Linked DNA regions of Lonchura striata. Each later gene encodes a partner of the first gene's protein in a complex. Links are inferred from orthologs where the notes say so. Each region holds a gene or a part of one and is shown on either strand. Other genes may lie near its edges.

Evidence for each region. Proteins that work in one complex are often made in the same cells at the same time.
Region 2: the proteins of RAB35 (region 1) and ACAP2 are in contact, whole or in part, in a crystal structure (PDB 6IF3), measured with the Homo sapiens proteins. The link is inferred for Lonchura striata from reciprocal best matches to the Homo sapiens genes RAB35 and ACAP2. Residues at the interface, in NP_006852.1 of Homo sapiens: Arg3, Asp4, Tyr5, Leu8, Ile41, Gly42, Val43, Asp44, Phe45, Ile47, Lys58, Gln60, Trp62, Phe70, Arg71, Thr72, Ile73, Thr76, Arg79; in NP_036419.3 of Homo sapiens: Val715, Ala718, Asn719, Ala720, Asp721, Val723, Thr724, Arg727, Leu728, Arg730, Met731, Glu734, Met735, Ser738, Glu748, Thr749, Gln751, Arg755, Asp756, Gln759, Met760.
Region 3: the proteins of RAB35 (region 1) and DENND1B are in contact, whole or in part, in a crystal structure (PDB 3TW8), measured with the Homo sapiens proteins. The link is inferred for Lonchura striata from reciprocal best matches to the Homo sapiens genes RAB35 and DENND1B. Residues at the interface, in NP_006852.1 of Homo sapiens: Lys10, Leu12, Ser17, Ser36, Tyr37, Ile38, Thr39, Thr40, Ile41, Gly42, Val43, Asp44, Phe45, Gln60, Trp62, Thr64, Ala65, Gly66, Arg69, Phe70, Arg71, Thr72, Ile73, Thr74, Ser75, Thr76, Tyr77, Arg79, Gly80, Thr81; in NP_001182144.1 of Homo sapiens: Met1, Arg4, Glu43, Ser47, Phe51, Val72, Leu73, Thr74, Asp75, Ile76, Glu77, Ser78, His211, Glu212, Arg213, Arg214, Gln242, His243, Ile244, Ile246, Leu249, His252, Leu253, Asp255, Tyr256, Cys258, Ala259, Pro260, Met261, Pro262.

What each region holds. Positions count from the first base shown.
Region 1 is NC_134620.1:5,002,146-5,009,883, reverse strand, and holds the start of RAB35 (ras-related protein Rab-35), read right to left. Parts: upstream 3,069-7,738; 5' UTR 3,029-3,068; coding exon 2,977-3,028; intron 348-2,976; exon of another isoform or gene 1-347. UniProt on the Homo sapiens protein: The small GTPases Rab are key regulators of intracellular membrane trafficking, from the formation of transport vesicles to their fusion with membranes.
Region 2 is NC_134612.1:15,154,441-15,162,068, reverse strand, and holds the start of ACAP2 (arf-GAP with coiled-coil, ANK repeat and PH domain-containing protein 2), read right to left. Parts: upstream 3,096-7,628; 5' UTR 3,007-3,095; coding exon 2,954-3,006; intron 1-2,953. UniProt on the Homo sapiens protein: GTPase-activating protein (GAP) for ADP ribosylation factor 6 (ARF6). Doesn't show GAP activity for RAB35.
Region 3 is NC_134611.1:26,084,361-26,091,476, forward strand, and holds the start of DENND1B (DENN domain-containing protein 1B), read left to right. Parts: upstream 1-4,021; 5' UTR 4,022-4,091; coding exon 4,092-4,108; intron 4,109-6,878; coding exon 6,879-6,943; intron 6,944-7,116. UniProt on the Homo sapiens protein: Guanine nucleotide exchange factor (GEF) for RAB35 that acts as a regulator of T-cell receptor (TCR) internalization in TH2 cells. Acts by promoting the exchange of GDP to GTP, converting inactive GDP-bound RAB35 into its active GTP-bound form.

The DNA of each region.
Region 1 (7,738 bases):
TCATCCAGGTTTTCCATAACTGATTGTTGGCACCCTGATAACACACTGTTGCAGGGAAGCATTTTTCACAGGGCTTCAGACAAGAACTGTAAGAAACTCATTCCTGTACACCCACCCAAGGGAATCTGGGTATCCAAATGCCTCCACGTTGTTATCTCTGCATAACATCTCTGCTGTCAATGACCCTTCCTCATCAAAATAAATCTGCTATGGCATGAATAGGAAATTCACTTCACTGAAATAATTATCTATTATATCTTTTCAGGGAGAAATTTTCCAAGGTAATTATTTTGATGATGTATAAATCACAAATTCTTCTTAATAGAAGACCTATGTAAAGGCCCTGCAGAACTCCAGTAGTTCTTAGCTGCTGGCATGTGACAACAGCTACCAACAAAAAATAAAAACCAGCCTAAAAATCCGCATGATTACAGTAAGCCAGGTCTCATTTGCAAAGAGTTCAAATCACCAGCCATCTGGAGAAGCCATGTTCATTCCTCACTACTACCAAACTAAGGAGGAAAAGAGGAAAGGAACTAAAAAATACAAAGTTTCAGCATGCATATAATTAATACCTCTGAGCTCAAAAAAGGTAGCAGAGCAGTTCCTGTACTTCAGAGGACTGGTCATTTAGCCAGAATTAAAGCTCTGCAAATACCGGTCAACTAAGAAAAAATAAGAAACTAAGAGAAAACAAGAATGTTTCAGCATCAAGTGCTGTGCTTCTTGACCAAGCAGCCTTGGCCTTCAGCTCAGTGAAAGGCAAGAAGGTGCCAGAACCCACAGACTTGTCAGACCACAGCACCAGGTCCGAGCTCAGCCAGCCCTGGGCGATGCTGCAGAGCTGCACATGACACTGCTCTGTCACACTGCCCTCCACTGCACAAGCTGCACTGCTCCCAGCAGGCTGGCAGCTCCCAGAGAGAAGAAAGCTCCTGAACTCAGGAAGTTCTGCATGCTCCCAGTGACAACGATCTCACTAAGCAAACACTGCCTCTGACCCACACTGTTCACGCATAGAGAAACCACACTCTTGGTGACCCCACACTTCCCACACAGAGCTGTTTGAAGATCTGAAGAGAAGTCTTGCAGGGCCCTCAGCTTCTTGAAGATAGCAAGATTAAACAAAACAAAAAAAAAAGCCTATTGACTTTGCAAAATTAAAATTAAAAGTATATTTCAGTGTCAGACAAGATTCTAAGACCCATATCTTACTGAACAGTACAGTGAACTAAAGAAGCAAAAGCAAAGCACAGATCATCTGTGTTATTTTTAAATATCTGGCACAGCTGAAATCACCAGCAGCTTTTCAAGATGACCTGTTCTAAAAACACACAAACCTACTACCCCTCTGACATATTTGCATACAGGGGAAAGCAGATGAGACATAATTATCCTATCTAGTAACAGTCCACTTCCTATTGCAGGGAATAAATGTCAATAAACAAGGCAAGCAAACTGTTTCATGCAAGCAGAGACAAAGCTTTCCTGTTGGGGTTAGCAAAAACAAAAACAAAGAAAAATCAATAGTCAAACTACATTGTGAGATTTAATTACAGGAGAAAACCACAGGCCGCCTGACAATTCTCACAACACTCCTTTCACTGGATACACTACAGGGATTTCGCTCAAGAAGACTGAGCTGGCAAAATTTGTTTAATTGTTTAAAATGAGAAGTCTTCCTCAGAGTTTTCACCATCCTGTTTATCTTGCCTGAACAGTTTTGGAACTCATCAGCAACCAACAGAGCCACTGCTCTACTCAGAATGCAGCGCTTGGTTGCAATAATCCAAGGCTCCCAGAACTGTCTGGGGTTTAAGCTGCTCTGAAGCTGCTGTCCCGTCTCCCTTCTTAGATCCCTTCATGCAGACACAGTTTAGCGTAGAAAAAAACATTTCTGACGTGAAGCTAAAGCTTCCGAAGGTGACAACTGCCAAGATCGTGCAACATCACCCTTTCATCAAGGGCTGCGCCTCGCTGCATGCCGGGACCTGCCGCCCCACGGACCACACCTCTGTTAAAAGAAGAGGGTGGATGCACCCTTCTCCAGTTTATGGAAATTCAGCTGTAAGCTGCTGGAGTGCTACCAACACCGAGCTGCACCGACGGCAGCGATCTTCCCCGTCCCAATTCCTGTGTACCCAGACCAAAGCACCAGACACTGGCACAGTTCACACGCTCAGCCCTCCAGAAGTTTCTGAGGTTGCTGAAGTATTTAAAGGTCTATTTTCAAAAAAAAATTCAAACTACACCTTTTATCTACACCTTTGGTTTTTAAAACCTCAGACTACACCCTTTATTTTTATATATTTGCATTCTATGCAATAACGAGAAGTACACAAAGCTACCACCTCTTCCAGGATTTATTAAAAAAAATAAGGAAATCTGGAACTGAGACTTCAGGCTGAAGCATAGAAAAAGTCTTAAGGAATAATTAAGACAATAATGACTGTTAAAACGTATTAGCTGCCGCACTGGAACAACAGTCCTTAGGGCAGCCAGCCCTTCCCCTCGATCCCTAGACTGCCTGTCACAGGGGAAGGGAATTCCCTCCCCATCCCAGCAACAGATTAGTGGGTGCCGTCAAAACACGCGCTCGCCAAGGCTGATGCCGGCAGCACTGCCGGTGGTGTCCTGCCTTCTGCGTGTCTAATCTGCCTTTTCCCAAACGCAGCCAAGCTATTTACCATAATATCCTGCGGTAGCCAGTTCCGCAGGTTTATCAGATAAAACCTCCCCGAGCCCCAGCGAACGCGCCCCGCCATTCACACACACAGCGCGGGGTCCCGCCTCAGCCCCGCGCCGCGGCACCGGCAGCGCAACGCCGAGGGCGGCCCGGGCGGAGGGGCCCGCCCCTCCCGAGCCCCCCGCGCCGCCCGCCCCAGCCCCGCCGCCGCCTCCGGCCCCTCACGGCCCGAGGGGCGGCCACCCCGCCAGCGGCCTACCCACGCCCCCGGCCGTGCCGCCCGCGCTCACCGCTGTCGCCGATGATGAGCAGCTTGAAGAGGTGGTCGTAGTCCCGGGCCATGGCCGGGGCGCGGCCGCGGGCGGCGGAGCGGGCGGGGGGGGGGCGGGGGGCGGCGGCGGCTCCGGCCGGAGCCACTTCCCGGACAAACAGCCGGAACTGACAGCGGGGCCGCCGCCGCGCATGCGCCGGGCCGCCGCCACGGGCCGCCAGCTGCGCCGCCGCGCCTGCGCCGGCCCCGCCCCGCCCCGCGCCGCGGCTGCGCGGGAAAACGGCCGCGCCCTCACGCGCCCGCGCCTGCGCGCGAGGGGCGGTGGCTGAGGCGGCGGATGGCGGCAGCGTGAGGGTGAGGGACCCGCCGCCCTCCGCCCAAACCCGTCCTGCCCCCGCGCCGAGCCGCCCACAGGCCTTTCATCGGGAGCGCTTTGCCGCCCCGCTTCCCGTAGGTGCTCGTGTGAGGACGCGGCTGAAAGCGACGCTGCCCCCAGGGAAGCATCAATGGCGTGAGGGAGCCTCAGCACTCCCAGCTCTGCTCCGAAGGAGCGATTTGTGTAGGTACAGGAACAGTTCCCAGCGCAGCCCAAGCCGCAGGTGAGGAGCCCCACAGCAGTGATATGAGCTACCCAGGTGTGTGTCACAGGCCTGGCAAGTCAGGCCAGTCTGAAATGAATTCCTGGGGTTTTTAATCCAGAGATGTTCCTGTGTGTGGCTCAGGAAGGGCTTTGACCTCACGCCCATCAGCAGCTGTGCTTGCACCGTCCCCAGCTCATATATGCAGTTCAAAAGCACTCCCAGTCATCCAGCAGCCTCAGTGATTTTGTTATCAGTTGCACAGACACTGATTACACAATTACTGCAAGACTGTGGTCACTTTTTAGGAGATCGTCACTTCTAAGTGGAGACATGGCACAAGAAAAGTGCTGGCTTTTTGCTGTGATTAATTTTTCTTTAAAAAACATTCACACTCGTACTTGAACTCCTGAGATCAAGTTTGAATTATTTAATGAAACCTGTCTTACTAACATGCATTGTCATTCAGATAGGAAGAGGTATATTAGCACTAAAGAACTTGGATTGTTACAGATTATAAATGAGTCTGTATTAGGAATAAATTGTTCCCTGTGAGGTGGAGAGGCCCTGGCACAGACTGCCCAGACAAGCTGTGGCTGCCCCATCCCTGGATGTGTCCAAGGCCAGTCTGGGTGGGGACTGGGGCAACCTGGTCTAGTGGGTCATGTTCCACCTAATTATGAACCTTTCTTAATCTTAACCTTCAAAAACACATTATAGGTTTCAAAGTGCACCCTGTCAAGGTCCTCACATCCTGGAATCCATTCATGTGACCTTCAGCTGACATTCACTCTGCAATTCATGCATTTTAAACACCACACACATACACACACACACACACATATATATACACATACATACATATACACACACACATATATATGTGTGTGTGTGTGTGTGTATATATATATATATATATATATATATAAAATCACTCACCCCAGACAAGCACTGGGGCAATCCAGCACCACCAGAGTAACTGAGGACGCAGTAGCTGCAGGGAAATTCCTTGAATCCAGCACACAAACCACCAGCTCAAACCCAAAATGACAGTGACTCCTATTACCTCTATTTTTAAGCTCATGAAACCTCATCATGTGAAAAGTGTCATGATGTTACTAAATAAAATGGACAGTAAGAACTGTGACTGATCAAAAAAAAAATCAAAATATTTGAGTATTTTATGCTTTTACATTTGTCTCTCTTCCATTGTAATTTTTAGCACCTTGTAAACCTCTCTCATAAATTATTTTTTGATCTTCTTGAAATGCACACAGTTCAGCTGTCACTCAGAGACAGTTGCTTGACAGTTCAAAGATGTTATTACCATCAATTGAAGGGAAAAATTATCTTTTACTGGCAACTGGTATTTTTAAGACATTTGAAATAAGAAAATTAATTCTTTAGTCTCCAAGTTGGCACAATCAATTTATCAGATCTCGTGGCAAGCATTATGGCTATTTTATCTCTGATATATTATACTGCAATGTATAAATAGTTTAACAAAAGTAGCTATCAAAATCCAAATAGAGTGTTTCACTGTGACTGAAAAATCAGCATATTCTCCACAAGTGCAAGTGAGCTCCTACCTTTCACTCCTCCCTCCCAGGAACAACTAAGCTCAGTGCAGAAATTCAGGTGTTGTTTGGAAAGATGAATGAGGTTTTCCACTTGCTGCTACCTAAGCTGGAAATACAAATCATCAAAATAATAGAATATCTTATTGGTTGAAATGAACAAGTTAATAAAAAAGGCTTCATTTGCCTATAATTTTCTTTCCCATGTTTATCTGGAGCATCAATTGGAATCAGAATAGGTAAGCCAAGGTGCCCATGATCAAGAGCTCAAACAGCATCTTCACCAAAACTTGCCATTTTTTCATTCCTTCCTGGCTGCAGTGATGGAGTGAGTGATTCCAGTACAATCACAGCTTTTTGACACATTCTTAGTAGGTTTTGAGTGGCATCAGATTTTGTACATGTGTCAGGGCAGAGGTTTTTGCATTGCATGGTTTAACTGCTGTTCCTGGGATCCCAAAGCACAGCTAATTCATCACAGGTGAAACTCATTCCAGTGCCCCAAGCTGCCAAATCTTTAAGAGCATTTAGCTGAGTTTTCACTCTTGAGTATTACCAATTCAATGCAAAATATGTAGTTTTCAGATGATTTCAGATTTGCAAGTATTTTGAAATGCAAAAATCAGAATTAAAACCCATCTTAAATGTGATTAAATAGAACACAATTTCTGTCACACCAACTGGGAAGCGCTGCAGTTTTGTAGAAATGTGTCCAATGCATAAATACAAGATTAGACATAATTAACTAAAGAGCCATTTTTAGTTTGGCTTCATAGCTGATCACAAACTAACATGTCCACAACATGGTGGTGTTGCAACAAAGGAACACCCAGACCTTGTGCTGGGGCGGACAACTGTGTTTGTTAAGTGGGGCTTGCAAATCAACTCCCCAGGAGACCTGGGCCAGCAGTGGACACCTCAAGGCAAAAAGGAGTCAGAATGAAACAAATCAACATGAGGGGCAGCAGTGTAGGTTTAGAAAACATGGAAATCTCTAAGGAAATACATAGAAAATCTGAATTTATTTCATCCAGGGATGAGGATACTGAAGTGACAATGTGGTTGCTGCAAAAAGGAACTGTTTTCAGTGTCTGTGGGAACAGGACAAGCAGCAATGGATTCAAGTTGCAGCAAGGAAAACTTTTTCTTCAGACATGAGGTACATTCCTGACAGTCTGGTAAGTTCATATAACAAAATAGATGGCATAGAGAAGTTATGGAATCTCCATCCTATAATGCTATAAAACAGCTGTGTGGCAGTCTGCTAGGAATGGTTTAGTGGGAGCTGAGCCTATCTTAGGTAAAGGGTAAAATATCTAATTGCCCAAGTTTCCACTAACTCCTACAGCAAATCTCTTGTCAGGATGCTACACCACAGGCTGGGAACTGACACAGCACCAAGAAACTTTTGTCAGATTTTTGTACTTCTGACCAGAACAAACCACAGCATTCCCAAATACCTGCTCATGGTTGTATCTTGCTGTTTGAGGCCTGAGTATGATAAAAATGTTCTTGTGTTTACTGCTACTGCCATAACAATCAGAAAATTGCTTCTAGCAGAATGTGTGCTCCCATGGAGTTCCACTTAATGCTCTCAGATTTTATGTGTAGTGTTGTGTTCTCCCATCATCATGGTTTGAGGCATCCAGAGTTATAAAGAAGGAAGATTACATGCACACACATACACACCACCCACATGAAATAACAAATCTTAGTGCTCTGGCTTCTCGGGTGCAACCACCTTCTGTGAGTTTCATACAATAGGTAAGGCTCACGTAACTATTGCTCCACGTGAAACATAAAGCTCATTTTGCCTTCTAAAAATTTGTATTCTGCAACAAGATTTTCAGTATATCCATCAAGTGACATCAAATCTACTAGTAAATTGATTTTTTTTCAAGACAGATATATGTGGCCAGGTAAAATAAAAGACTTTCTTGGAGCAGCACAACTCATTGACCAAAAAAACTAACGCCAAGTATTTTGTGATGCCTTTGAAGACGTAAATACAGAGGACTTTTCACTAGTTGGGTAATTAAAAAGCTGTCTGTAGTCAAAAATACTTTGGAAATCAACAGGAGTAATTACTTACAAATTTCATTAAATGTCAGTTCTGCCTTGGCTTTAAACCCTGTCTTGCCTCAGTTCTGCAAAAGGTTTTCACAGATCACAGCATTGTCCACTCTATAAACTGTATGCTCTAAACCAAACAGGTTTGAAAAGTAAATCACAGTGTAAGTTTGTTGACAAATTAATTTGTATAAAGAACAGTTTACATCAGAAGGATCAAAGTCAGAGCCTTTATTAAATGTTCCTTCTCTAAACGGACTGCATTTAATTCCCCTTTCGCATCTGTGATTTCTAAGGCTATTTTAAATACTTCGTTTTACAGGGATTTTCAGTCTTCAGAACCGTCACAAGCAGCAAGTTAGCAGTACACAGAAACAATAGAACTGAACTTTCACCAAGTTCTATTCCTGCCTTCCAGGGTGCGTGGAAAAACCAACACACCTCCAGTATTGGAGTTTTTGCACAGACCCTGGAAAGGAAATAGTTGTCACCAGAGATTAAGCCTGATGTGCTCTAGCCACATGTCACAATTGGCCACAGCTGACCAGTATTGGTT
Region 2 (7,628 bases), on another chromosome or scaffold:
ATTTGATGGGAAGTCATTGACACAAACTGCAAACACATTTCCTCGCTAGATCCTTGCTTTGGCCATGTTTTAGGAGAAGGGATCATGACAGAAAAGCATGTGATTTCAGCAAGTATATTTTCAAAGCAAGTTTAGGAAAAACACATGACTACACATTTGCAAAAGTGTGCCTGAACTCACAGCCTTTCCCACTACCTTAAAAATCAGTTTCTGAACATCAAGTTTCCAACTACAAACTGATTTGGCATGTTGAAAGTTTACAAATCTAGTGATGCAATAAGCCATTATTGCTTCAGGTTTTCTAATTCAGAGACTTCTTTATCATCTGGTAGAGGGTGAAAAAAAAAAACAGTATGCCTTGCTATGAAATAACTCATCATACTTCTGATGTGAACCTTTATAGTCATTATTATCTAATCACATATCAGCACCTCAACAGCTACAATCCACCATCCTTTCACAAGCACTTTAAGCAAGGAAACAGATCTTAGGTGCTGTGATTTGGGGTCCAATTAAATCTCAAAACCAAGAAATATCAATATGAACTTCATCAGAAACAGATAAGCAAGAATAAAAGCCATGTGGCTGAAGCTGCCTGTAGTAGCGTGTTTTGAAAGATTTAAATAGGTCCCCATGAAAACAGGGATTCAGTGACTCAGGAACTCTGATTTACCCATGTCCTCCCAGTTATCACCACAACCATAAGAAAGTAGCCTGTGACATTTCTATTCATTACATACCTCCCAACAGTTGTATTTAAGAGCTCTGACAGGTATACTGACAGGAAGGACAGAGGCTACACCCTCCTGCTCAGCAAGGTCAGGAGAAAGCTGCAGCTCAGCTTTGCTACAAGGAACACAGAGCAAGAAGCTGCTTTATGTCCACACTCCCCCCTGGAAGAACATAGGACTTTGTCACAACCTTGCTCTACATTAGTGCCTCTATCATCCCTCAGTAAAACCACTGCAGTAACCTTCATTCAGAAGGTTTCTACTGTTTGGGTTGGGTAATTTATATGAACATTAAGAATAACCAAAATTATAACAAGTATTGATGACTAATAATGAAAGATATGAACCTTTTCAGAAATACTACAGGAATTCTGCCTTGCAATTTTACCCATTTCCTAACAGTTAAAGGTTTACTGGCATCAAGTGATTATGCCATAAGGTTTTCTGCAATTCATTTAAAGATAGTAGTATCAGACTGGGAAAAAGACCATGAGGTACAAGAAGACCCTAACAAAGTGTTTTCTCCAGTTTCTTTTCCTTGAAGGAAAGGAATCAAGAGAGGCAAAAGAAGATGATACAAAATGAATTCAAATGAACTAGTACGACTTACCTTGGAAAAACAGCAGCACACTTCTGCTCACAAATTTTAGTCACAACTTCTTGTTTGCTTGAGTGTCTTTAGTACTTTAGCAGGTATGAGTAATTAAAATAATGCAACTACTGGTACAGTTTTCTGATTAAATTATGCCAATCTACAACTGCATTGTCACCAAATGGGATGAACCAACACTAAATTCAGTTGTCTCAGAATGTATATACACTAGCAAGCATGTCCAGCTCAGGACATAGTTTTGTGAAAGACCTAAGCCAATGTAAAAGTTGCCTGCAGCCCTGAGGGAGGTCTTGCTCTCCACTGCCTTCCCCTAGCTTTGCTTCTGGCAGTGAAGTTTCTTCTCTCTACTCCCCATAAGCTTTAGGTTTCACACCCACTGAGATGCTGACAGAACTCACTAACCTGGATGGCAGAGAACCATCCAGTCTCTTCCGCCAGGGCACCCAGACACTAAAGGATCCAACAACACACGTCACAGTCACCAAAAAACCCGTGGGAGAAGCAGCCAGTGACAAACTAGCAGCAGAGGCAGAAGCAAAGGAGGGAAGAACAGGAACTCCAACTTCTGCCAAGGGTAAGCCATTCAACCAACCTTCCTTCTCCAACTTCCTCTACATCCCAGATACCACAGGATTGCTAAAGCTGATACAAAAGAGGAGGCGTGAACATACAGCCAGAGAGTAGAGAAAGAGCAGTACTATTTTCCTCAACATCCAGAGCTCACCACAGAGCCACAGGCACTTGAGATATGAGCTTGGCATGGGACAGGAGTGGCACAGCAGTGCCACATCACATCACATCACGGAGATGTTTGCATCTCCATCGTCTAGCAGGGTAATGGCAGGCACAGAAACTGGGTGAATGTAGGCACAGACCAGCCACACATCCCACAGGGAGGCACAATTACGTTGATTAGATACAACGGTGTAAAATACATATATAGAATGGGTAAAAACGTAAGGAAAGACAGGGGAATGTTGCCTGACATAAGCAGAAATAACCCTACAGCAATGATAGACAACCGGTCACTCGACTGGGGAAAAACAAAGGAGTGCGTGCCTTGCTCTGACAACAGGAAGTAAGACGATACTGAGCTTGTTTGCTACTGGCACCCCAACAGTGGCCACACCGAATACGGACACACAACAGAACGTAGGCAGGAGACACTGGGAAGTGAAATGTGAGCACAACTCTGAAGAACGGAAGACGGACCACCGAAGAGTTCACCCTCCGAGCCTGAGTCTCAGCTGACATTGCCTCGGCTGGCAAGCACTGCCCGCACCAGCCGCCCGCCACCACTCACCCCATCTCCTCCAAGGCGTGACCCCGCGGCGCTCACTGCCCAGCGCTGCCCAGCGCTGCCCCCGCCCGGAGCCCGCACCCGCCCGCCCGGCCCCAGCACCGCACACGCTGCCTCCCTTCCCCCCAGAGCCCCCAGGCCCGGCAGGACCCACACAGCCCCTGCCCGCCCCTCCGCTCAAGGCCGGCTGCCCACAGCTCGCCAGCACCTGTCAGCCCCAGCGCCCCACAGCCCGGCCCGCCCCGCACACAGCCGGCCCCGCTTCCTGTCCCCCGGCACGACCTCGGCCCGGCCCCTTCTCGGCGGCACCTGAAGCGCGGCGAGTCCTTCAGGCACTCCTCGAAGTCCACGGTCACCTTCATGGTGGCGGGGCGCGCCGCTGCCTCCGCTGCTGCGGCTGCTGGCGGTGGTGGCGAGGCGAGACCGGGCCAGGGCCGGCGGACGGGGCGGGGCGGGGGCGGTGCTCGGGGCAGGGGCGGTGCTCGGGGCAGGGGCGGTGCTCGGGGCAGGGGCGGTGCTGGGGGCAGGGGCGGTGCTCGGGGCGGGGGCGGTGGCCGCAGCGCCCGGGGCCCGCCCCGCCCGGGCGCGACTGACGGCCCGGGCAGCCAGCAGGGACCTCCTGCGAGAGCGGGGGGCGCGCCGGCCAATCACAACGCCAGAGGGGCGGGCTCAGTAGGCAGAGCGCCCAATGAGCGTGGCCGCTCGGAAGATGCAGCCAACCGCCGGCAGCGCAGCGATTGCTCCCGCCCCGGCGTGCTCAGAGCGACAGCTCGGGCCGCCAATGGGCAGGCGGCCGCGCCAAGCGGCAGCTCCATGGCCGTGGATGCCCCGCCACAGCCCGGCCCGGCGTTCGCCGCCTGACGCTGCCTGGGGGGGGCCGGGCCTGCTTGTTTTTTTTTAATTACAGCTCTTCATTAAACGGGGGAATCGCTCCCTCGGGGGTGAGACGCGCGGGAAGGCCCGGGCGGGCCCCGGAGCTGCTGCACCGGGTCGAGAGCGGCCTCGGTCAGCCGGGCTCCGCGCAGCGCCGGCGCGGGGCAGGGCCGGCGGGGCGGTACGGCCCTGCTGGGGGGCCAGCGGCGGGAGCAACGCTCCTGCTCAGTTCGCTCTCCGGCGTGATTCACTTCTACACAGAGGAAATAACTGGGGGGGAGACTCAAAGGAGTCTCTGAAGGAGAAACGCAAACCGCAGGTTTTCCTGTCAAGGAATATCAAGCGTGCATGCTTGGGTTTCTTATGGAACCTTTGTCCGAGAATACTCCGAGCTAGAGCGGATCGTATTTTGAAGTGGAGTGATACAGAGTGAACAGGACCACGTTGCAGTCTCCAGGTTGCAGTGAAGGACAGCAGAACGTTGTAGATTTCTGATCGTTTAAGAGAAGAGAGAAAAAGATCTCTTAACCAGTTAGGTGTGCTTAATGTTCCCAGGTGTAAAACAGACAGACAGGAGCACCAGCCATCCCCACTCCTCTTCAAAAAGGAGCAACAGAGTAGCAAAAGTTGCTATCCAAGTTAACTTGTCAAAGATGAAGCAGTCACAGGGATGGTGCTGAGAAGCTGACCGAAGTAGATGATGTTCACTCTTGCCTCCTCCCAGAGTCTGACGAGCTGCCATACCTGCTTCCAGCGAGGCCATACCTGCTTCCAGCGAGCCCACAAACCCCCTACAGCTTTCATACCCTCCCTCATGCCAGCATCTCCACTAAGTTTCACCTCTTGTTTTAGCTCTTTTGTTTTTTCATATTCTTCCCATTCTCTCTCCCCCGCTTCCTTTCAATGCTACAATGAGAAACAGTCAACGTGGAAGGAGGGGTTCCAAGAGGCTGGATGCCTGCTGTACCTTTAGTGAGGGACACTTAGTTCAGTCAGTTGTAATTTAGAATGTCAGGGTTTTTTTTACAAGACTCATGAAATGTCAGAACCAAACTACAAGTTACATGGATGTAACTGTATATTTTTGTGAGCTGTCCCTCACCAAAACTAGCCAAACTACCACTATTTTGATTAGGCATCCAAGTCACACCTACTCAGGAAAAGCAGCATGTTAATATTTGTGTAATTGAAGCTGCATTTATGTTGTGAAATCCACTTTTCAACTGAAGAATGCAATTGAAAAGAGCCCAGCTCTGTTTTGAGGAAGAGTTTTACTTCCTAAGAAGTAGCTGCTGTTAGTCATTTTCCATTACTCCATGCTAGTGAGTGATGACTCAGTGTTGACCGTGAAGAGACAGATCAGTTGTGGTTAAATCCTACAACACACAAAAACACCTTGAAAAATGCAGCCTTTTCTGAGGTACTGCTGTCTTAAGTTCCTGACTTAGGTTACCAGATCTACCCTCAGGCCTAGGCAAGCCAGCAAATCTGTGTGAACAAACAAATTTACATCAAAGTTACTATAAATGAGAGCCATAAGGAAATTACAATATTGGTTTAAGAATTTATCTATGAACATACCTGCAAATGTTAGCTGCCAGTTTCTTCTGAAGAGCTCCAAGAAGCCAAACATTAGATTAGTATTAGTGTCATAAGGTAGTAATGAAAACAATTGTTTTATTTATGTTGTGACACTTAACACCAGTTTCAAACAATAATTACATTTGTGAGGTGGCATCATAGTACCACAAAAAAGCATGTTACAGAAACAAAGAGTTCTGGTAAGATATACAAATTTCACATGAGAGAGGTTAGCTGTGGAAAAAGTATCTGCAGTTTCCATGAATTATACAAGTTGGTGGGAAAGAAGCTATAGACAGAAAAAAAAAAATCTATACACATGAGTTAAGGCTCTTATTTGTAAGTGATCTTCCTACTGGAAGCATATTGAAAATGCCTTCTCTAAACAGGATGCAGCTTGAGGACTTAAACCTTTGCAAGAAAATTCACAATTATGGTACTGTGGAGCTCACTGTCCACATAAGTAAGTACTGTGTTTGTTTCCTCTTTACACCACTCTGTATTGTACACGAGTATTTACCATATGCAAGCTAGCTAAGTCCTCATCAAATGTAAAAAGAGAAAGCACATTTCTTCTCTTGTCCCCATTCAACAGGGAACTCCTGATATTTCTCAAGCAGAGGGAAATCAGATATCCCTTTGTAAAAAAAGCTGTATGGAACTTCTGGAGCTACTGCAAAGTAAAACTTGCATGATTTAGTTTTTAAAATGCATCAAGGTGTAAGCAAAGTAAACCAGCCTTTCACTTAGAAGCAGTGGTAGGGACATTGGCTTGCACTTCTGCTGAGGAAGACAAAGAAGCACTGTGAACAGAATTTCTGCGAGCACTGAGGAAAATGAAGAGAACAAAGCCTTTAAAAAAACCCCAAACTAAATCAAGTTTCAAAATAGCATCAAACTCGGAATTTAGGTGCTTGGAGGCACAGAAAAAGGAGATCACCCAAGCAGCTCAAAATCACCTGAGTGATGAAGGAACCTAGTATACATTATGTGGTTAATTTAAAACCGTCTTCATGCATTTGTGTACCTCCCTCAAAGCTGCATACTCATTTCATCTAGATTTGTGGAAGCCATTACAGGAAAGGTCTTTATTGGAAGTTAGAGAAGTTTGTTTGTTAAAGAAAATGCTTTCTAGACCTTGTAAGATACAAAGGAGCCCTGCTGAGCACCAAATGGCCTTGGACACAAGAAAGTGGGGGGGTTAAGGAGGGCAGGACATTAGCTCGGGTAAGAGCTGCTGCTGCTGGATTCTACCTTAATTTCAGAATTTCAGTGCCCAGCTGGGGCAGGCCAGGCCAGCAGCTGCTCAGTCTGAAATACAGCTCAGTGCACACAGGCCAACACTCTGAACACTGCAAGCTGGTTTATAAAAGGTACAAACAAAGTTTTGAAATCCTATTCTTAGGAGCCAAATTGAAAGCTGCAGTATGTGACTTGATGAGTCAAAGTATCTAAATGCTTACCCTTTGCCACTGTTTACTCCATGGAAGTGACCACATTTGATACAAGAAGTAATAGCACTCAGCATGTTGAAAAAGTAGCATCACCACACTGGCCAGAATCAAGAGTTCAGCTCTTTTTTGTGAAAAGACCCTATTAATCTCAATTCAGGACCTTAGAAGATTAACTAACCCAAAACTGACCACCCTACTAAGGAGAGGAGATAGTTGGGAAAGGCACCCTACAAAACACAGCATAATTCACAGGTATCTTTGGCAATGCGTCCAGTCTAATTAATCATTCCTGTAAAAATCTTTCAAATGACAGCATCCTATTGCCTTATTCACTCTCAATTTCTCTGGGACTCCAGGAAAGCTCACACTTGAGAATGTATGTAACTGTAAAATAACTTTCATTCCTTTATTCAAACTTCACATATACAGTGGAGAAAAAGACATTTTAAAATTGATCCATATAATTATATGGATTTTTGCAACATATCAAATTCAGATCAAAATTAAGATATACACTGTATTTCATAATCAAGCTGAAGCTTAAGTGTGTACTTCGTTTGTATAATAAAACCCAGGAACTACTCTGAATACTGGAACATTCACCAGTCAAATTCCACCCAGTGGGAAGTTTTTACAGCAATTTGGAGGTGCAGAATCCCTCTTTACAGCTATACAACCACACTGTAAACAAGTATTTGAATTAGGCAGTTTCCCTTCTCGCTTCAAAAAAGCCTTCATTTTACAAAAGCAGTTGCTGTAAGTTGCAATGACACAGGAAGATTTAGACCAATGGTTTTCAGTGTGGACGTTGCCAACCCCAAAAGAGTAGATCAACAGCAGTTATCTTTAATAAAGAACAGCCAGAGCCTAGGCTCAGCACATCTTCAGTCCTGATTTATACACTCATGGCTGGGTGTTTTTCCTCAGGTGCTAACAGCACAAACACTGTTCATGCAACTGGAAAGAACCAAACATTTGAAACAAGAGCCAGAAGAGTAACAGTGGTTGTGATTTAAGAGAAAAGCTGTAAGGAACTTGCACGGCCTCACAATAAGCCAGAGAGAGCTCCACAAAAC
Region 3 (7,116 bases), on another chromosome or scaffold:
TGATTAGAAAGCCAGGGAATCCTCATTTCCATGCTGCAATGGTCTCTGCCCAGGAGTCCACTGATTAATTAATGAGTGTGTTTACCTGGGTGAGTTTGGGCAGGTTAGCCCTTGCACATAGCCTGGCTGCAAGGACAGTGACAGCTGCTGGAATGCAGCATCCCTGAACCTTAACGACAACCTAGCACAAGCATCACATGAAAATCCTTACCCAGCCATGGCAAGGTGTCACTTTTGGTCATGTCCACCTTAAATCATCATCTGCTCTTAAGCAGGAAAACTTAGAGCCCTTTACAGTGCATATTTGGATAAATAACATTGAAAGGTTAAAAATTATGTTTGTATGATCATGCAAGGAGTCAATACAAATGTGAAATACTTGTAGACATGTATATTCTATATCTATTTACTTAATAAACTAAAGTTTATTTATTTAGTATAAATATATAAATGATATAATATAAAGTATCTTTAAAGAAACTGAATGATGAAATCACATAATGTAGGTATATGGTGTTTCCTTAAAAGTATTTTTTTAAAGTATTGTCTCATGACAGTATTATGGCTAAGGAGTTTAATGGGGAAATTGATGTCTATGAATTTGGTAGTTTGGAAAACTTTGCATAGGTGAGATGATCTAGTCACTCATTTAGAACTGGGAATGGGTATATGTAAGATTCAAACAAAGTGATAAAACCCCAAAACCTCCAACCCCATTAAAATGGGGCTGAGAGTAAACTCATTGTAAGTGATGCTTTTCAAGTCTGTGAGGTGTGACAAGGTGATGATGTTGTTAGGAGATATACTGATAGCATCTGAGATAACATAAACCTACTGTAACTTCTTTGAAGGAACAAGGACTAAAACAGACCCAAGTACACTCAGGGGTGAGTGGAGAATTCTTGGTACAAGGTATAAACTACAGATTCTATCAAGGTATTCTAAAAAATATTTATTATGGCCATAGAGTGGGAAACTTAATAGGTTTTGATTTTGCCATTTTTGACAAACTCATTGGTGCTCCCAAGGGAGAACATGTCTTTCAGCAAGCTCTGCTAACAATGTTCTGAAGGAAATCCCTTTATGAGTTTCAGGAGCACTTAGGAGGAAGATCACTTTATTAGCAGCATGCTTTACTATTGAATGAATTGTACCTGGCAAGTGAGGAATTCTGTGATACTTAAGATTCCTTAATTCACACTATATCTGCTCCAGTTTATGGTGATGATGAGTGTTTTCTACATCTCAAAGACTTGCTGCAGTTATTTGGGGTGGGAGATTTGGATCTGTACAGAGTTACCTGTTGCTCCTATCTGCAAAACAAATGTTCATCTACCCCACCTCCAGCAAATCCATCTATATCAGTTCCTATGCTAATCTTTTAGATATAATTTAGGTTGAGGTCAGCCATTTTCATGTTATGCAAAACATAAAGAAAATGGCTTTGTGTTTTTTGGATTACATGTAGAACAGCTGATTTTGAAAAGTCCAAGTATCAGTTGCTTCATGGCTCTAATTTGGAATGAAAACCAGAGTAAAGAAAAGTAAACTACACTCACAGCTTCAGAATATACTATATTAATCAATTTTCTGCATATCTAGAGGTTTTGCTTTCAGATTTTCCTTCTTCCTTGATTCTCTTCCAAGGAAAAACTGAAACCAAGGCAGTGGCAAGAGGTAGTTTTGAACACCAATACCTTTCCCAAAATATCATCTTTCATTAGAAGCTGCCGTGGTTGCAAAACAGTCTTGAAAACATGAACTAAGTGTAACCTGGGCAGAGATGTCTGCTTAAGCTTTCACAGAGTCTGAAATAATAGCTCTGAGAGATGTGAGCCTCATCTCAACAGGGTGTTCTCTCATATGCCTTCTATTTTAAACTTGAACTTTCTCTACTCTTCCTGCTCTTCCAGGCAGGCAAGGTTTAGTCACTGCATGCAGTCAATTTACTCCAGTGACAAGGCATGTATTTACTTTGGGAAAGAAACCCTACCTATTTTTTCTCCAATTATGATAAAATGAAATCTAAGGGACCCAATGGTCCTATCTGCCAAAAGAGACCCTAGTCCAGGAGTGGCTGGAATTGCATGGTAGGTCAGCTTGACAGGCCACCAGATTACTCCTCTGTCTGCAAAAGTGGCAAGCATCAGCAGCTTAAGAGAAGAGAGAAATAAACACACACTAGACTTATAAAATATTTACTGTAATTCAAAATACAGATTTACTGCAATACCAGGGTTTTTCCTGGGGGGGCGGGGGGAGGATTGGGGTTTTTTTGGTTTTTCTTCTTGTACACCTCAAATGGAAATTTTCCACAAGTAAAATGTCTCAATATTTGGATAATCAGCTGCTCCAAATTCAATCTTGTTAAAATATTGGCTATTTTTTTTTTTTGCAGAAGAGACTTTCAAAATCTTTGTGCTTTGCAGTAGGTCTGGGGGGAGAGATGGAGGGCAGAAGGAAAGAAGGCAGAAGGACAGAGGCACATACATGACTGTGGTTGTGCCCCATATCCTTCCCCATGTGCTTCCTCTCCTTTTGGTTCTGTAACATCCCTGGGTGCTGGATACCTTGCTCTCCCCATCCCCTTGCTAGAGCAGACACGGGCATTGCTCCCTTCTCTCCTGGCTCTTTAGTCCAAACTGATCCCACCAGAGAAGTTCAATTTAACAGTGGGTGAATGAATGCTGCCTGCTGTGAGGGCCTCTCATGGTACACAAAAATACACATTTAACTTTTATTTTCCCTAAAAAACCCCTGAGCTACATGAAGCTACGTTGTTATATGTTAAGGATACAAAGCCCCAAGCAATTTTCATTTACTTCAGTGGGAGTTGCAAATACTGGCTGCTAAAACGTAGCCAAAAATTACCACAAAATGAGGCCTGGGAAAGCAAGTACTTGAAACCCAAGAAAATCCCCAAGCTAAGGTTACTGCTACAACATTCAGTTCTTTTTGTTGCACATCTATACAGTTTATTATTATTTAATCTATGTCCTGTGAGGTGTGTAGGATGTGCAATGAAGCCAAAACAATATTGGTTTGGAGAAGTTAATATTTGTAATTTCCTGACTTTTGAATATTTGATTTTTCAGCCCCAGTAATGCACTAATGCTGTTTTATGTGTTTAATATATAATTGGCTTGAATTTTTTTCATCTTTTCAACTGTTGATACGATGATTAGCTTCTAGAGGAAGAGTGAAAGAATGACGTTTTTTCTTTGGCCCAGTACCACAGAATCTATTTTATGCACTTTTTCATTGCAGTGTTACTATGTTGGTGAGGGAAACTTGGTGTAGGTGGGAATTTGGCTGCTCAGTAGCTCTCAGATGAATGAGACTTGGAAGCCTCTCAAGGACGGTGTTATTTTTATTTCCTTTCCAAACTCGAGGGAAGCACTCGAAGATTGAAAGCTTTTTATGTGTGTTTACGGGACGGTGGGTTTGCTCCAGCCGTCCCTGCTGCACCAGCTCTTCAGCAGTTTGGGATAGTATTTGTCCAGCACTCGATAAAACAAAACGCTAAGCAGATTACAGCAGGTTAAATTAACATTTATGACCTTTAGTACGAAAAGCTCCCCTTTCCTGCTGTGCATAAAGAACGTGAAAGGGCTGCTGCGGTGTGTCAGAGCACACAGGAGCCGGAGCCATCCCCTGAGGGCTTCAGCAGGGTGAAGGTGCCGCTGAGGGGGTCCCTCACGCCGCTCCCCGGGCGCTGCCCCGGCCCACCTGCCGGGCCTCGGCCGCACCTGCCGCGGAGGGCACGGGCCGCCCGCCGCCCCCGCCGGCCTCAGGTGACACCAGCCCCGCCGGCTCCCCGGGCCGCCGCGGAGCTTCCTGCTTCCCAGAAGGTGCCGGAGCGGCTGCAACAGGAACTGAGAGACGGGGGAGGAGGCGGTGCCGCCGCTCCGCCGCAGTCGCGGCCCGAGCCGGGGGAGCGGAGCGGAGCAGCCATGGGCCGCCGCCCGCCGCGGCGCTGAGCCGCCCCCGCCGCCCAGCGCTCCGCGGCCGGCGCTGCCCCTTCGCCCCCGCCGGGCGGGGCGCTTGTCCCTGGGGGCGCCGGGGCCGCCGCCGGGGCCCGCGATGTGACCATGGACAGCAGGTTCAAGTGAGTGCTGTGTGCGCGGGGCTGCGGGGCGCGGCGGGCCGGGCCGAGCCGAGCCCCCGCGGCGGGCAGGCGGCGAGCAGGCCCCGAGGCAGCCCCGGTCCGCCGGGCCCGGCGTGCGGCGGGCGGGGACGGGAGGAGGGGGAGCCCACCCGGCGGGAGCGTGCGAGGGGCCGGGCGCGCCCGCCGCGGCCGCTGAGTGACAGCGGGAAGGGCGGGCGGGAGGCGGCGGGGCCGGGGCCGGGGCGAGGCGGGACCCGCGGCGCGGGGGGAGCGGCGGCGCCCCCGACCCGGCCCGCGGCGGCGGGGAGGAGAAGGGGGCGGCCGCGGCCCCGCCGGCCGCTCTCCCGCCCCGCGCCGCCTCCCGGCCCCGCGGCCGCCCCGGCATCGCTCGGCAGCCGCCGGCCCGGCCGGGCAGAGGCCCCGGCGCCGGTCGGGCTGTGCCCGCGGAACGGGGCCTGTGCGGGGCCGGCAGCGCGGTGCCGAGCCCGCCGGCCCGGCAGAGCTGCCCGCAGTGCCCCTGCCCGCCGCGGGCCGAGGCTGTTCCAGGCATCCCTCTAGAAGGTGGCAGAATTGTCAGGGCTGGGAGGGAGCTCTGCAGATCATCCCGTCCCCTCGCCGTGCCAAGCCAGGGTCATGTAGAGCAGGTGACACAGGAGCACTTCAGGTGGGTTTGGAACGTCTTCAGGGGAAGACTCCACGACCGTCCTTGGGCCTGTTCACTGCTCTGCCGCCCTCAGTGTACTTCCTCACGTTCAGGTGAAACTCCATGTGTTACAGCTTGTGACCACCCTTCTGCCATCACGGCATGGCAGGTGCAGGAGGGTTCCTTGGGTGTTTGGGAGCGCTGCTGTCCAGGCTGCTCTCCGGCAGCGGCCGCCTGCTCTGGTGTCATTGAAAGCGACAAGATGTTACACACGGCTTTCGGCAATTGACAAACAGCTTCGTGTCTATACGCGCTGAGCAGGCTGGCACCGCGGAGCTGGCAGGGAAACGAGAGACCAGAGACAGGCTCACAATTCTCACATTAGTTTGACACATTTTTGACACTTCTAAGCGTAGTGGGATGTGAAGAGTAAACTTAGAAGCATTTTCCTGCAAAAGCAGTTTTAGCGTACTACAGTGAAAGACAGAAGGCAGTATTACTTCAAAGACGCTTTTTGAGTGTAACTCATCTAGGAGTTGAGTTAGAAACACTCATTTGGTGATTGTAACACAAACTGATTCACATTAAAAAACCTCAACCTGAGAGGATGAACCCAAGGCCTAAGCTAGAGCAATGTCATGGGGGGATGTAAATTCTTTTAAATGAAGTAATTTTGTGGTTCAGTTTTCTAGGTTACTCAACCAAGCACAGCCTTATCAGTTTCATTCTGAACCTGCTCACCAGCCAGAGGAAAAATGGACAGTTTAACACCAGAGTAAATCTCCAATGTCCTGGATTTATGCTGTTGTAACTCAAACCAGAATTTAATCTCCTATACACAGGATCAGTAGATACAGGATTTCCCCCTAAAAAATGCTTTAAAATGCAAGGAAAAAGTGTGACATGGGCAGTTTATGTCTTCATAATCCAAATTGGACTATAACTGTGTGTCTCAATGGATGATGGTGCTGAGGTCAGTGAAAGCATTAACTGAATCAATTAATTTGTGACAGCTGAGTTTTTCCCTGGCTCAGCCTTTGGATTTCATTCAATACTTTATTTAAAGAAACAACAATGTTTTAATTTGCTTTATGTGAAGCATCCTAGAAACCTGGAACCAAATAATGGTGTTTTTTTTTTTTTTTTCCCTCTGCCTAAATCTCCAGCTGATTTCAGTGGGAGTGTTACACAAGATAGGAGTTCTAGTGTGAGCCTTTTATGTGGTTAAATAGATAATTGATATGGGTGCGGTTATACCGCTTGTTTTTAATATAAATAGCAGTGTGCTTGGTAGGCAGAGAGGGGTGGATGGCATGGTAATGGCATTTAGACCTGTTTCAATGAGTATGTAGTTTGGGATTAGGCTGAGTGTTAATTGCTGTTGGCACATGCAGTTTTTTATTATCATCAGGTGGAAGAGGCGCCGGCCGTCACACGCAGCTGCCCTTGATGGCTACTGCAGATAGGGAGGCACTCGATAAAACGAGTTCCTGGCTAGCTGGGGCTTGTGTCCATCCCCAGTTAGGGCACGCGTGTTGGCTCTCGCGCTGAATCACGCCTGAGGTTCAGCCTTTAGAGTCCCAGCTGGCCATCGATCGATACCTGGTGAAAGAGGAAGCCAAACGATTCTCGGCCTTGGGGTGGTAATCAGGCGCTTTTAAAGGATAGCGGCTAAACACAGGGAATCCAAATGGAAGTCTAATGATGGGCTATTCCCACGTAGTAGAAATAAGACATAGCTGTAGAAAAGGCTGCCTGTGACTTCATTAATATTGCAGATTGATTGATTGATAAGGAGCTTAATAGCTTTTTTCTCAACTGTTAGATGAGTTATGGAGTGACTTAAAAGCTATTTTATATATATATATATATATATATATATGGCAGTGACAATATAATGTAAATAAATCACAAAGTTTAGCTTGTTTATCTTTCTTATTCCTTTCTTAAGGCCATATAGGGAAATGTGATGTTTTGGTTCTTCCTTAGAACTAATCTGAGTACTAATTTTGTTTTAATGATATTTTAATTCTATTTATTATTCTGCAAAAATAATGGAAAGGATATAACAGTAGAAATAAGATCTGAAATATGTATGTGATAATCGATTGTGTTTGTTTCTTCCAGGGAAAATCCAGAACGTACCTTTGATTTGGTACTGAAAGTAAAATGCCAAGCTTCAGAAAACGAAGGTAATGCACTTTGCCTATGATATTTATGTAGAGAAATGAGAGCTGGAAAAAAATAATTGTCATCCCAATCTAGTGTTATTTTATACTTTGAATTGCTTTTGGACTGAGATTGTGTTAGAATGTACCTATGATTATTTTATTGCTTTTTAAAATGTATTACTTTGTAGTTGTTG